Mus musculus: one gene and its partner. The protein of the gene in region 2 purifies or fractionates together with the protein of the main gene of each other region. This does not show direct contact. Links are inferred from orthologs where the notes say so. Each region holds a gene or a part of one and is shown on either strand. Other genes may lie near its edges.

Evidence for each region.
Region 1: the proteins of Psmc3ip (region 2) and Mnd1 purify together in Homo sapiens (co-immunoprecipitation; 6 studies listed by BioGRID and IntAct, counting the BioPlex papers as one, with this or other methods). This does not show direct contact. The link is inferred for Mus musculus from reciprocal best matches to the Homo sapiens genes PSMC3IP and MND1.

The regions. Positions count from the first base shown.
Region 1 is NC_000069.6:84,152,076-84,158,239, forward strand, and holds the start of Mnd1 (meiotic nuclear division protein 1 homolog), read right to left. Parts: upstream 3,712-6,164; 5' UTR 3,590-3,711; coding exon 3,587-3,589; intron 1-3,586. UniProt on the Homo sapiens protein: Required for proper homologous chromosome pairing and efficient cross-over and intragenic recombination during meiosis.
Region 2 is NC_000077.6:101,091,506-101,097,627, reverse strand, and holds Psmc3ip (homologous-pairing protein 2 homolog), read left to right. Parts: upstream 1-2,192; 5' UTR 2,193-2,251; coding exon 2,252-2,285; exon of another isoform or gene 2,286-2,369; coding exon 2,370-2,470; intron 2,471-2,602; coding exon 2,603-2,692; intron 2,693-3,813; exon of another isoform or gene 3,814-3,835; coding exon 3,836-3,947; intron 3,948-4,619; coding exon 4,620-4,765; intron 4,766-4,850; coding exon 4,851-4,904; intron 4,905-5,036; coding exon 5,037-5,096; intron 5,097-5,171; coding exon 5,172-5,228; 3' UTR 5,229-5,487; downstream 5,488-6,122. UniProt on the Homo sapiens protein: Plays an important role in meiotic recombination. Stimulates DMC1-mediated strand exchange required for pairing homologous chromosomes during meiosis.

The DNA.
Region 1 (6,164 bases), on a different chromosome or scaffold from region 2:
TCCAAACTGAATTCTTTCTCTCCTACACACACTCCAAACCTGCTATTCGACATCTCAGGTCTCAGATACGCTCTTTACTTATGCCAAAGACCTGGCAGCCATCCTAGGTGCCTTCATCTTTTTCCCAATTACCAAGTTCTGTCAACACTGGTTCCTAACTATTCTCTAATATGTCCTGCCTGGCCAACTCCATTACCTCTGCCTGGATTCAAGCCCTCATTGGCTATCACCTGCGACTGTCCTCAGCTGCCTAAACACACTTTTGTCTCATCCTCTAACAGAAGTGGACTGTGCAGCTCCTTAAAACCTCTGATGGTTCCAATCCTCATATCAAGCATCCTAATAGGATGTAGAAGGCCCTCTATCACCTGACCCCAACCTACTATTTAAAGTAGATCCCACCCCCAAATTTACCATAACAAGGTGAAAAACTATGTAATTTGGGTGATGGTGGTGATGATGATGATAAAATTATTCCTCTACCTAAAAAAATTTCTCCTCTGCACACTCAATACTCTGAAAGTTCCCCTGAAGCATAATTTGTGCATTCTCTCCACCAGCTTCCCTCTGCTGAGCTCACAGGCTGAGTGTGTGTTCCCAAGACACATTTGCATTGTATCATTTACTGCACTCTCTCAGCAGACTGAGAAAATTCAGAATATCCACTTTCCTTTGCCTTCTTAGGACTTAGCAAGCTGGTTAGATAGAGTTGACATAGAAGCCAGCCCTCAACTTCAGGACCACAACCAGTAAAACTGCCAACTCTAAGCTGCTCAAGCTTCAAAGCCCACAACACTCCTAATTATACAACCCAGGGTGAGTTAAGTAGCAGGAAAGCCCACGGCCATCATCTTGCTTGCAGAGAGAAAGCAAAATGCTCTCTCCAAGAGGGTACCCAGGCTCCAGGAAGCTCCGAAGAACTGCGGTCTAAACCTCAGGTTCAGAGCTAGAATCCACGAGGGTTCTATAAGCCTTCCCACACTGCTCTCTTACAGTAGCTGAGCCAATCATGAAGATCACACCCAGCAAGACTCCTCAGCTAAGCCTCCCTCACCAGTGAGAGCAAGCTACCATATATATACTCACCTAAGAATTTCAGAAAGGCTACTGCCTCGGGCACCCTGTGTAAACTACACTGCAGTGCTAGTGACGGACCTGGGTGTGTACATTTAAAAAGTATCCTCCACTGTTTAACTTGCTTTTCTCACTAGATTACCAAGGACATCAGGGGTTCTGTGAAAGAAATGGAAATCTCTTTAGGGTACAGTGCCTTTGCCCTAAATGGTTCCAGGGACTTGGGCCTGACAGGAGCAGTGAGGGAATGAAGGAAAAGCAGAGCAGAAAGCTGGGATTGGGTGGTCTGGGCTCTTGGATGGAAAACCTGCAGCACTGCAGCTCAGTACGTGCATTGTAAAGTTGAACAGAGAGGCAGGGTACTTCTTACAGTGGGGCCTTACATACAGATAAACATGGAGGCAGGGTTATTACATACATCTGAACACAGAGGCAGGTTTAACTAATCTTGGTAACCAAGGAGCAGTCTCTCTAGGGGAGTGAGTGGTCTTCAGGCCATAAACGTGCGCAAGGGAGCAAAGCTAGTGAACATTTTCCACACAGACTGTCAAAACTCGCACTCCTCTTCTGGGGGAAACATAGCCACCTCTCTAAGCCTGGAGCTGGGGGGGGGGGGGTGTCTCTGATGAGGCCATGCATGTCAACAACACAGGTTCACTGGGGTCTTCACTCATTCAAGGCTTGCTCAGCTCCCTACATTAGGACTTAATCATGTGGCTAAATCAGGAGAAAACAGAGCCCACATCTGGGGTGACAAATCCTAATATTTTGGTATTATAAACAGTTTCTGGAAAGTTCTTTACAATCCCCCAGAGGCAAGCAACAAGGAGACTCTAATGTCCCGGGGAGCTCAGTTTCGGAACGCTCTTACTACCACAATATAAACATCATATAAACGCAGCTGAATTGGAGCATGACTTCCAGCATGATTTATCCCTGTGCCTTTTAGGAGTTCTTACTAATCACAGTTGGAAACATCCAAGGTCAGATTTAAAACAACTAATGTAAAATGGACATCATACTGACATTAGAGACTTCAGCAAGAAAGAAAAAGAACGCCAGGCGGTGGTGGCACACGCCTTTAATCCCAGCACTAGGGAGGCAGAGGCAGGCGGATCTGAGTTCAAAGCCAGCCTGGTCTACAGAGTGAGTTCCAGGACAGCCAGAGCTATACAGAGAAACCCTGTCTCGAAAAAACCAAAAAAAAAAAAAAAAAAAAAAAAAGAAAAGAAAAAGAAAAGAAAAAGAAAAGAAAGTCCTCAAAACTGGGGAGGGGTATTTCCTTGTGGTAAAACACAGATGCCTTCAGATTATGAAGGAGACGCAAAGCCATCTGGGGATTACAGGCCTACGTTTGTAATTGTTTACCTGCCAAAGCAAGCCAAATCGAAATAGTAATTCACATTCGGAAAGAGGTCAAAAGTTTAACTTTGACCAGACTAACAGTGAACTTTTTCCTGCTCATATATAAAACTAATAGCAATACCTGCGTGAAGAGTTAAGAGCCATTAAATCCCTTTGGCAGTAGGCAACTGCCCTATAAAGAGGGTTAAATAAGAGGGTGAGGCCGGCACATCAATAATTCCTAGTTCCTTTTAGTCGGGTACTTAAATTCTACAAAGAGAAACATGATAACACCAAACACTGGTAACACTGTTGTTTTGAATCTGGTCCTGGGCTCCTTGGGCCATTGCATGCCCAGGTGGCCCGTCTGTTAGTTTAACCACAAAGAAGCCGTTATCAGTTATAATTACAGCTGGGCAATTTTTTTTTTTTCAAATAAATGCCCAACGACCTGATCCTTGTCCACCCTGTGTGACGACCAAAATTAACTAAATTAAGATATTAAAATCTGGGGTCACTCTAGCGACTCGTTGATACTCTGTCGCCAAAAGTGGAAAGAATGACACAAAACTTTGAAGGTAGTTGAAAAAAAAAAACGATCCAAAGGGCAGAGAGTCATTAAGTCCGAATAGACAACGGCGATTGGTAGTAAACCAGGATTGGCCCGCAGAGAGCAGGGTGGGGTGGGGGGTGGGGGAGGCTGGGGTGGGGGGTGGGGCGTCCTACCCTGCCCTTAAAGGCGGGGGTGCGGGGTGGGGTGGGGGTGTCACTGCCATGATCTAAAGGCGGAGTGATCTGGGCGGCTCCTGTTAGCATACTAAGTACAGTGGTGGGGTGCAGCTGAAAAAGGGGAGCGCCGTGCCAAGCAAGTAAAAGGCCCCGGGTTCTAATTCCAGGAGAACCGAAGGGCACTGAACACTTCAGTGGCCAACTCCGCAGCGCGTGCGCCCTGGGGTTCTCGGTCGGGAGCCGCGGATCGGTCCAACTTGCGGGGCTTCTGGATTCGGTTCTAGAACGCTCCGGTTCGGAACCAGGGCGGCGCAGGCCGCCATCAGGGCTCGGGCGCAGCAGTGGGCGCGGGGCCAACCTCACAAGGCCTGGCCAGGCACAACCCCTGCTGCCGCGGCCCCGAAGCCCAGAGGTGCGCGCGTCGGAGCCTCGCTCTTACCATGCTGCGCGAGGCGGCCTCCCTGTTTGAGTCTGGCGCCAACAACCGCGTGGGGTGGGAAGGACCGGAGGAAGTGCAGGGGAGATGCAACGACCCCTGGCGGCCCTGGTAGGACTGCGGGACCCGAGGGAGGAGCCGAGCCTGGGCGGGGCTTGAGAAGATGGGCAGGGCGGTGAGGGGCGCGGCCTGAAATAATGGGCAGGTCCAGTAGGGGAGGAGCCTGAGATGGGCAGGGCCGGACTGAGACCAGATGGACCAGTCTGGGTTGGGCAGCCTGTAGGCAGAAAGGAAAAGTTGGGGCCTGGCGTGGGAGCTGGAGCAGGGAAGGCTTCTGTTCCCTTCCCGTGCCTCTGGGGTTGCAGAGTTGCTTACTACTTAAGTGTTCAATGTAGCTTTTAGTTTTCTTTTTAAAAGGCAACTTTTGAGTCTTCGCTTTTAAGTGTGTTCTTTTAGCTTAAAAAAAAAAATATGGGGCTTTGGCTGCAAGAAACGAGTACATTTAGAAAAGAAATTCTTTTTCTATTTTATTTTATTTTTGTCTTATTTAATTTTATTATTTGGCTTTTTTGGGACAAGGTTTCTCCGTGTAGCCTTGGCTGCCCTGGAGCTCTCTCTGTAAACCAAGCTGGCCTCGAACTCAGTGATTTGCTTGCTGCTGCTCCCTAAATGCTGGGATTAAAGGCGAGCACCAACCTCTAGCCTTAAAAAGTCCTCTGATACAGAGCGGTGAGAGTGTACAGAGTAGTGCAGGTGTTCTGCATTACAAATGAAACGTAAATATTCTAGTGCTGCTGACTGTCAGACCTTAATAAAGAGTATGTGGGAGCTTTCTAAATTATTTCTTGCAACTACTAGTGAATCTGTCTCTCAAAGTTTCACTAAAACCTTTATTTTATAAGATAGGATAAACGTGATTAGCAAAAATCATCCAAAGCATTTACAAAGGAGAGCAATAGTCGGGGATGGGGGTGAGTATGTATCCAAACCTGCTTGCCATGCTCATACCCTGACAACAGGCATATAGCAGAGATGTTCCTGTCAATTATGTGACACAGAGTTTTCATCACATCCACTTTATTAACGCTTTTCTAGAGTTCTTAATTTGCTCTTTATCACAGTTACTTTTTTAAGTTTTTTTTTCAATCCTAGGTTTTCAGGACAGGGCTTCCTGACAGCAAGTCTCTCTCTCTCTCTCTCTCTCTCTCTCTCTCTCTCTCTCTCTCTCTCTCTCTCTCTCCCTTCCCCCTCCTCCTCTTCCTATGTTATTATTATTATTACAATAAAAATAAGTTTATCCAATCAAGTAACAACTATACAAATGCAAGCAATTTTAGTCATTTTCTTTTTGGTCAACCTATATTAGACCTGAAATCTTTACTGAAAGTTCCCAGGTGATGGTGAAGTGTGGTTGGTTGCTCATCTATGCACATAATTTATGTGTTTTAAAGACTGAGGTCAAAGCACAGAGTCAGTCAAATACTTGAGCAAAAAGTCAACCAATTAGAGCTTCTGTTGTACGGTGAACAGACCAGCTGAGAAGTAAAATGAGCTGTGTCAGTCCCTAGAGGCGTGTGGGCTTATGGAAAGAAACAATCTGAGTGCTGTGTGCTCAGCAGGGTGGGTTAGCCGGGGAACCTTGTCTCTAGAAGGCAAGCAGTTTGCTTTATAATCATCTCGCAAATACCTTTTAAATCCATGCTTTAAAGGAACTGGAATCATTCCTAGCTACTTAAAATACAAACTCTTATGAATGAGCCACAAACATCTTTCCCCAACCTTTCAGACTGTGAGCTCTGAGTCTTGTATGCCGTGGGAGGGAATAGCTGAACAGTTAACTACTTTAAAAGCAAGAGTTTCATCTGCAGAAGATGAGAGGTATCATCTTGTCAAAGATGGGGAACCTTCAGAGCTAACTAGCAGGCTACAATCTGGCAGTCTGTCATATTTCAGCCAAACAGGCCCCAGCCAGTTCTCAGACGGAGTGATGTTTCCTTTCTCTTCTCAGTGGTGTTCTTGTCCCCTATGTGGGTGGGTCTGATTTTGTTCCCGATCATTCTGACAGCTAGCATGCCCACACACTTACTCTTGTTTACCTGGTGTCCCCAATCCCCAGGATGTCACCTGTCAATGATGGCTTCCAACCACTCAGCAGCTGGTGGTGCTGGAAGAATGTTGCCATGCTAGTGGAACAGTGGCTGGGGGGACTGGGACCCCAGTGACTCCAGAGTCTACTAGGCTTCTCCCACTCTAGCTTCTAGCACCCCTAGTAGTCTAGAATCTCCTGGAAGCAAGATCCAGGGTCTCTTTGACTCTACTTCCCCAGGGCTGCGGTCACAAACACACCACCATGTCCAACACTTCATATACATTTTCGGGATGGAATTCAGGTCTTCACACCAACAAAGCAAGCCCTTTACTGAGCTGTAAGTGGTGGAGTGAATAGGTATGGCTCCCATCAACCCTGTGACTGAATGCTTGGCCCATAGGGAGTTGCACTATTTTGTGGATGTGGTCTTGTTGGAGGAAGTGTGTCACTATGGAGGTGGGCTTTGAAGTCTCATACATGTTCAAGCTACAT
Region 2 (6,122 bases):
GAGTGCTTGCAGAGTTTGAGAAATGTGAACATGCTGTGGGGCTGAGCCTCTGCTATATCACCGTGAGCTGTAGGATCAGCTGGCTGGCTGGGTTGGTGAGTGCCTACCTTGAGGTCTCATGAAAGCTCCTGGAGCTGTGTGGTTGTCTTTGGTGCTGTTAACCCTTGGCTCCATTTGACCATCAATCTGAGCAATGAGCAAAGCAATATCATATCCATGTTTATGTCCCTCCTCCTTCCCTTGCTCCTCCTCTGGAGAAGCACTAATTACACAGGGGATAGCAAAGTAGCACTTTACAAATGGCCATGGCGTTCATCCCAAGAGCCACCAGCTCTTCTTACCATACCACTTCCTAACTCCTGTAAGGATGAGCCCAGTTAGTAAGGATGTTGGTAATCAGCAGAGACCATTCTCAAGGGTAGGTGTTCTGCAGCCCCGAATCAAATCATGTGAAAACCCCTTAAATGATCATTGGTTCTCAACCTGTGCCAGCATACTGCCTCTCTGTCTCCCAAATCAGAGCTCAAGCCAAATTCTTCTATCCTCTTTCCCTCTTGCATTAACCTTTGCTGATCCTCAGGGACCACTCCCCCAGCACTTTTGTGTTTGGGTGAGGGATGTTGGACAGAGCCCATTTTTATGTGCTGCAGGTTGGGGGTTGTGCTAACACTTTTGCTCTTGGTTGATGGACAAGATAGAGGCCAGGGAGTGAATAACAGTGAGAAGAGGAATGGCAGGTGCCTGTTTCATAGTCAGTGAGTGTGAAAGTTAGGCATAATAATGGCATCTCCCCACTTTAGGGTTCTCAAATACTTTGGACATCTCTTTCCTTAGAGCCAGGTAGATGTCTTACAGGTGAACTCGATGATGTGGAAAAGAACAAAAAAAGGGAGGTGAGGGAAAGGCTTGGGGTTTTGCGTGTTTGCATGAGTGTGTGTAGCTTCATGCTTTGGGAGTTGGCAAGAGGAAGAGGGAGGGAAGGGGAGCAAGCAAATCCAGGTCTTTTCTTGTACCAGTGGAACCTGCTCTGAATCTCCCAAGTCCTCCACTGTGAATTGGGCTGGGTGGGGGGGTGCAGGGGAATAAATCTTGTATGAGAACAATCTTTTAAGAGACTGCTGTTTCGTTGTGTACTTCCTTGATAAGTCTTCTCATTAATCTGATAATAGCTAATCTGGTGTGGTGATCCTCAGAAGAGGAAGCCCAGGTGGATGTCAGGGACCCTCCTGCCCTTTCTGTTTTTCCCTCTTGAGGCCACGTCTCCCCCCTACAACCAAGACATAAATATAACTAATACCTTGCGGGCATTTGTCAATTGTTATTTTTTTTCTCTTTTAGATTTATCTTTTTGTTTGTTTTTTTAGACAGGGTTTCTCTGTGTAACCCTGACTGTCCTGGAACTCACTCTGTAGACCAGGCTGGCCTCGAACTCAGAAATCCGCCTGCCTCTGCCTCCCAAGTGCTGGGATTAAAGGCGTGCGCCACCTCGCCGGGCTCTGAATAATGGCTTAATGAAGTTTTAGGTTGAAGGACTGAAAAATTAATACTGTGCCCTTCCACTGAGCTGCAAGGACAGCTGCTCTTTGACCGTCAGCAGACCTCAGAAACTAGAAATATTTATTTCAGGCTCCTCCGGACTGGCCACTGTGGTCAGGAATGGAAAGCACCTGCCAGGTGTGGCAGCTCATAACTGGAGACTTCAAGCTTTGTGGCTTGAGTAGCCCCCATTCCTAACCGTCTTTCTTGGGCGTTCAAATGACACTAGGTGTCGAGCGCCCCCTACATGCGACACGAAAATCGTTGGTGTCCTTGGCGTTCACAGCCACCCTCTGACAAAAGTACCTACAGGTCCTTTATACGTGAGAAAACTAGTCCCACTCCTGTGGAGGACTAGCTCTGTGCACCCTTGAGCGGCGTGGTAGATGACCCGGCTCCCACACCACGCGGGTTTAGCTCAAGGTCACGAGTGCTCAAACTCGGCCTAACAGGGTCTGGCGGCTTATAGAAAGGACCGCTCACCACAGGCAGCACTGCGGGCCCAGGAGGCGGCCGCTGACCTGTCACTAAGGCCGGGGACTGCGACTTCTTGACAGCCGCTACTAGGGCTACGGGGTCCCGGAAGGTCCGGGTACTCTTCCGGCAGGCTTCTTCCTTAGCCAATCAGCGTTAAGGTCCCGCCTCCTCACCGGAAGGAGGCGTTTCCCGGAGCAACCGACCAGTCCAGCTCTCGAGTTTGGTGGCGGGAAAGGCCATGAGTAAAAGCCGGGCCGAGGCTGCGGCTGGAGGTAACGGCAAAGCCCGCAAGACCCGGGAGGGGAATAGGAGAGGGGGTCGGAGGTGACCCCCATATCCTACCTCGTCTCCCGCAGCCCCCGGGATCATCCTGAGGTACCTGCAAGAACAAAACCGGCCCTACAGCGCCCAGGACGTGTTCGGAAACCTACAGAAGGAACATGGACTGGGCAAGGCGGTGAGAACCCCCTTTGCGGGGGCTCCCTCCCCGCTGGACTCCCTTGTTAGCCTTGGGTCCTGCCTTCCTTGTCACAACAGAAATCTCCCCCGTCTGGGGTCGCGCTAATTGTTTCACCCTCTCCTCTGCTAGGCGGTAGTGAAGGCGCTGGATCAGCTGGCCCAGGAAGGCAAGATCAAAGAGAAGACCTACGGCAAGCAGAAAATTTATTTTGCCGATCAGGTGAGAACTCAGATTAACACTCACCTGAGAGCTTGTCTGAGTGAATCTCAGCATTTCGTGTGTTGAGGCATGCCGGGCAGTGGTGGCGCACGCCTTTAATTCCAGCACTTGGGAGGCAGAGGCAGGTGGATTTCTCAGTTCGAGGACAGCCAGGGCTACACAGAGAAACCTGTTTCGGGGAAAAAAAAAAAGTGTTGAGGCACCTCACAAAATAATCTAATCAGTGGTATGAAAGAGCTTCAGATACTCTTAAGTCAGTTGTACGCTGCACGCTGCCTTCATCAGTGTTCATTTGAGCTATGAACAAAGGAAGACCCTGACTCACAACTCCTAGTCTCGTTTCTGCTATCGTTTCCTGCCAAATCATTTTTCCTCTTCCTCTGCCCCACTACCCCAAACACATCAAATTTACATTCTCCTACCCAGACTTCTCTCTGGATAATTATTATCCAGATAATATTGAGTACCAGCATCGATATGGCCAATGTTGAATGCTTACTCTCTGCCCCCTAATTGGCTTTCTAGCATTTTTCTGTCAGGAAACCTCTCTTCTCAACCCAGAGATTAGAATGTAAGTCTTTGTCTCTCTTATTTATACACCTGATATGTGTGGCTATTTGTCAATTATATCTGATTACCCCCATCCACCCTCTTTTTTGAGATTAGCCCTCACTACGTGGCCCAGGCTAGCTCAATTTTATTTATTTATTTATTTTGCAGTTGTTAAATCTAACGTGTCATCACTGCTCTCAGTCAGACCCGCCTGTCTAAAATGATGTATTAAGGTTTAATCTTGGATGTTGTATCCTGAATGATCTATCTAAATGCAGATTGAGGCTGGCAAGATGGCTCAAGAGCTCCACTGTATTTTTAGACTTTCTAAAGCATTTGGTCTCACTTATTCTGCTCTACTTTGCCATTGAGCTGTATGCCCAGCCACTTAATTAATGTACAGATAGTCCCCCTGCCTCAGCCTTCCAGGTTGCTGGAGTGAGGAGCCTGTACCACTAGCCCCAGCATCCTCTCCCACTGTTGGGTTTAGGGGTCACCTACTGGTGCTTCCATATTTGAATGCCGCCTCCCCTGATGTGTATTTTTCTCTCTGTGCCTCATGGAATCAGCTATATTTCTCTTGGCTGGCAGAACCAGTTTGACACAGTGAGTGATGCGGACCTCCACGGCCTGGATGCCAGTATCGTGGCCCTCACTGCCAAGGTGCAGAGCTTACAGCAGAGCTGCCGACACATGGAGGCCGGTAAGACTGGGCCGTGGTTTGGAGGTCATAAATTGCTAACAGAATGGTTCCTTGACTGCAGCTAAGACCCCTTTGCCAGGTGCCTATGATGTTGCATTGAAAGAAACACAGAAGCCGGGCGTGGTAGCGCACGCCTTTAATCCCAGCACTCGGGAGGCGGAGGCAGAGGCAGGTGGATTTCTGAGTTCAAGGCCAGCCTGGTCTACAAAGTGAGTTCCAGGACAGCCAGGGCTATACAGAGAAATCCTGTATTGAAAAGCGGGAAAAAAAGAAAGAAAAGAAAGAGAGAGAGAGAAAGAGAAAGAAGGAAAGAAAGACTGACAGACAGACAGACTGACTTAGCTATGGCTTCTGAGTACAACAGAGCAAGACAAGCCCTGGCCCTTTGATCACACTGCATCTATTATTCCCATTCCTTTAATTATCTGTACAGCACTCGGCTTAGCCTTACAAGGCACTGTTGCTTTTAGATGGAGCAGGAAAGAAAAATAGGAAACAGAGTGATGGTGCTCTAAGCCTTTTCTTGAGCTTTTCCAGAGTGTGGGGTCCTATTCTAGAGAGATCCCAGAGCAAGACGCAAGTTGACCTCCCACCTCTGGGACGCGCCTGCTGGGCAAGGCAGGATCCCTTCTTCACTCGTCCCAAGTGACTCTTGAGGACATGTGTTTTCAGAGCTGAAGGAATTAACAAGTGCGCTGACCACTCCTGAGATGCAGAAAGAGATTCAGGAGTTAAAGAAGGAGTGTGCTCAATACACAGAGAGACTGAAGAACATCAAAGCAGCTACCAACCATGTCACTCCAGAAGAGAAGGAGAAGGTGAGTGGGGAGGCTGCAGGCTGCCTGTGCAGGTCTGCAGTGAACAGACACAAGGAGCTCAGACAAGCACACTCCTTCCTTTCAGGTGTACAGAGACAGACAGAAGTACTGTAAAGAGTGGAGGAAGCGGAAGAGGATGGTGAGTGGGAACCCCAGGGTGCTTGTGGAAGGGACAGTCACCGGGGAAGTTGGTGTGGAATGATCCTGCCGGCAGGCAGCGCCTTGTACTGCCGCTGCTCACCTCATAAGGAGGGGCTTTGTTTCTTGTCAGACCACAGAGCTGTGTGATGCGATCCTTGAAGGCTACCCCAAGAGCAAGAAGCAGTTCTTTGTAAGTGATTCTTCTCTTTTGCTCCCCTGGAATCTTTGCCCAAAGGACTCCTTCATTACTTTCTTTGCCCCACAGGAGGAAGTTGGAATAGAGACAGATGAAGATCATAATGTTTTGCTCCCCGACCCCTGAGGGGCCCTTGGTGGAGGTGGGAACAGAGCGTCCTGCGCTGGCCACCTTACTTAGTGGCCTTTTTATTCTTGCTGTTCTCCACCTTTGAGCAGTGGACGGAGCACAAAGCCATAGTGTTAGATAGAGGCTGGTGATCAGAAAGGACGGTCATGTCCGTTTTGTACAGGCCTCAACAAGGACTTAAAACAATCCTAAAAGAAAGTATTTGTAATATTTATTGTAATATAATTTGATATAAAAATACTTAATTTCCTCTGGATGATCAAACCTCCCAGATATCAAACCTGGGGAAGGCAGTAGGAAACATGGGATAAGAGTACAGAAAGGGTGCCATACACCAACATTTGAGACTCCCAAGGGATCGCCCTGGCCTACCCCCAGAAGACTTGAGGATCTCCTGTCCCACCTAACTCTATCCCCAGGCCCCAGGAGAAATGGAGACAACACACTGGTGGGGCAGATACACACATTATGCAGAAGAGGCTGGGGCTGCTTTGGAGGTCTGCTAAGAAGTTTGGGAAACTGCATATAACAAAAATGCACTGTGGGTATTTAGAAGATAAATTCAAATATGTAATGCTGCCTTTGCCTTTGGGAAGACAGGGCAAGAGCTGATGGGACGCTGTTTCCTGTAGCACCTACAGCAGCTGAAGTGGGCAGCAGAACATGAGGGTAGCAGGGTCAGGCAGCCCTACCCTGAGCTGGCTAGAATACCCTGGCCTTACTTAGTATTGACCACACAGCCCTAGCCTAGGCACAAGGTGGCCTTTTACCCTTCATGGCCATAGGGCTATTTCTTTTCCTTTTTTCTAACTTAAGAACTGCCAAAATACCCAAACTTGAGCCAAGTGTTGCCCAAGAGACCAAGCAGAGGCAAACGATTTCCAAATTATG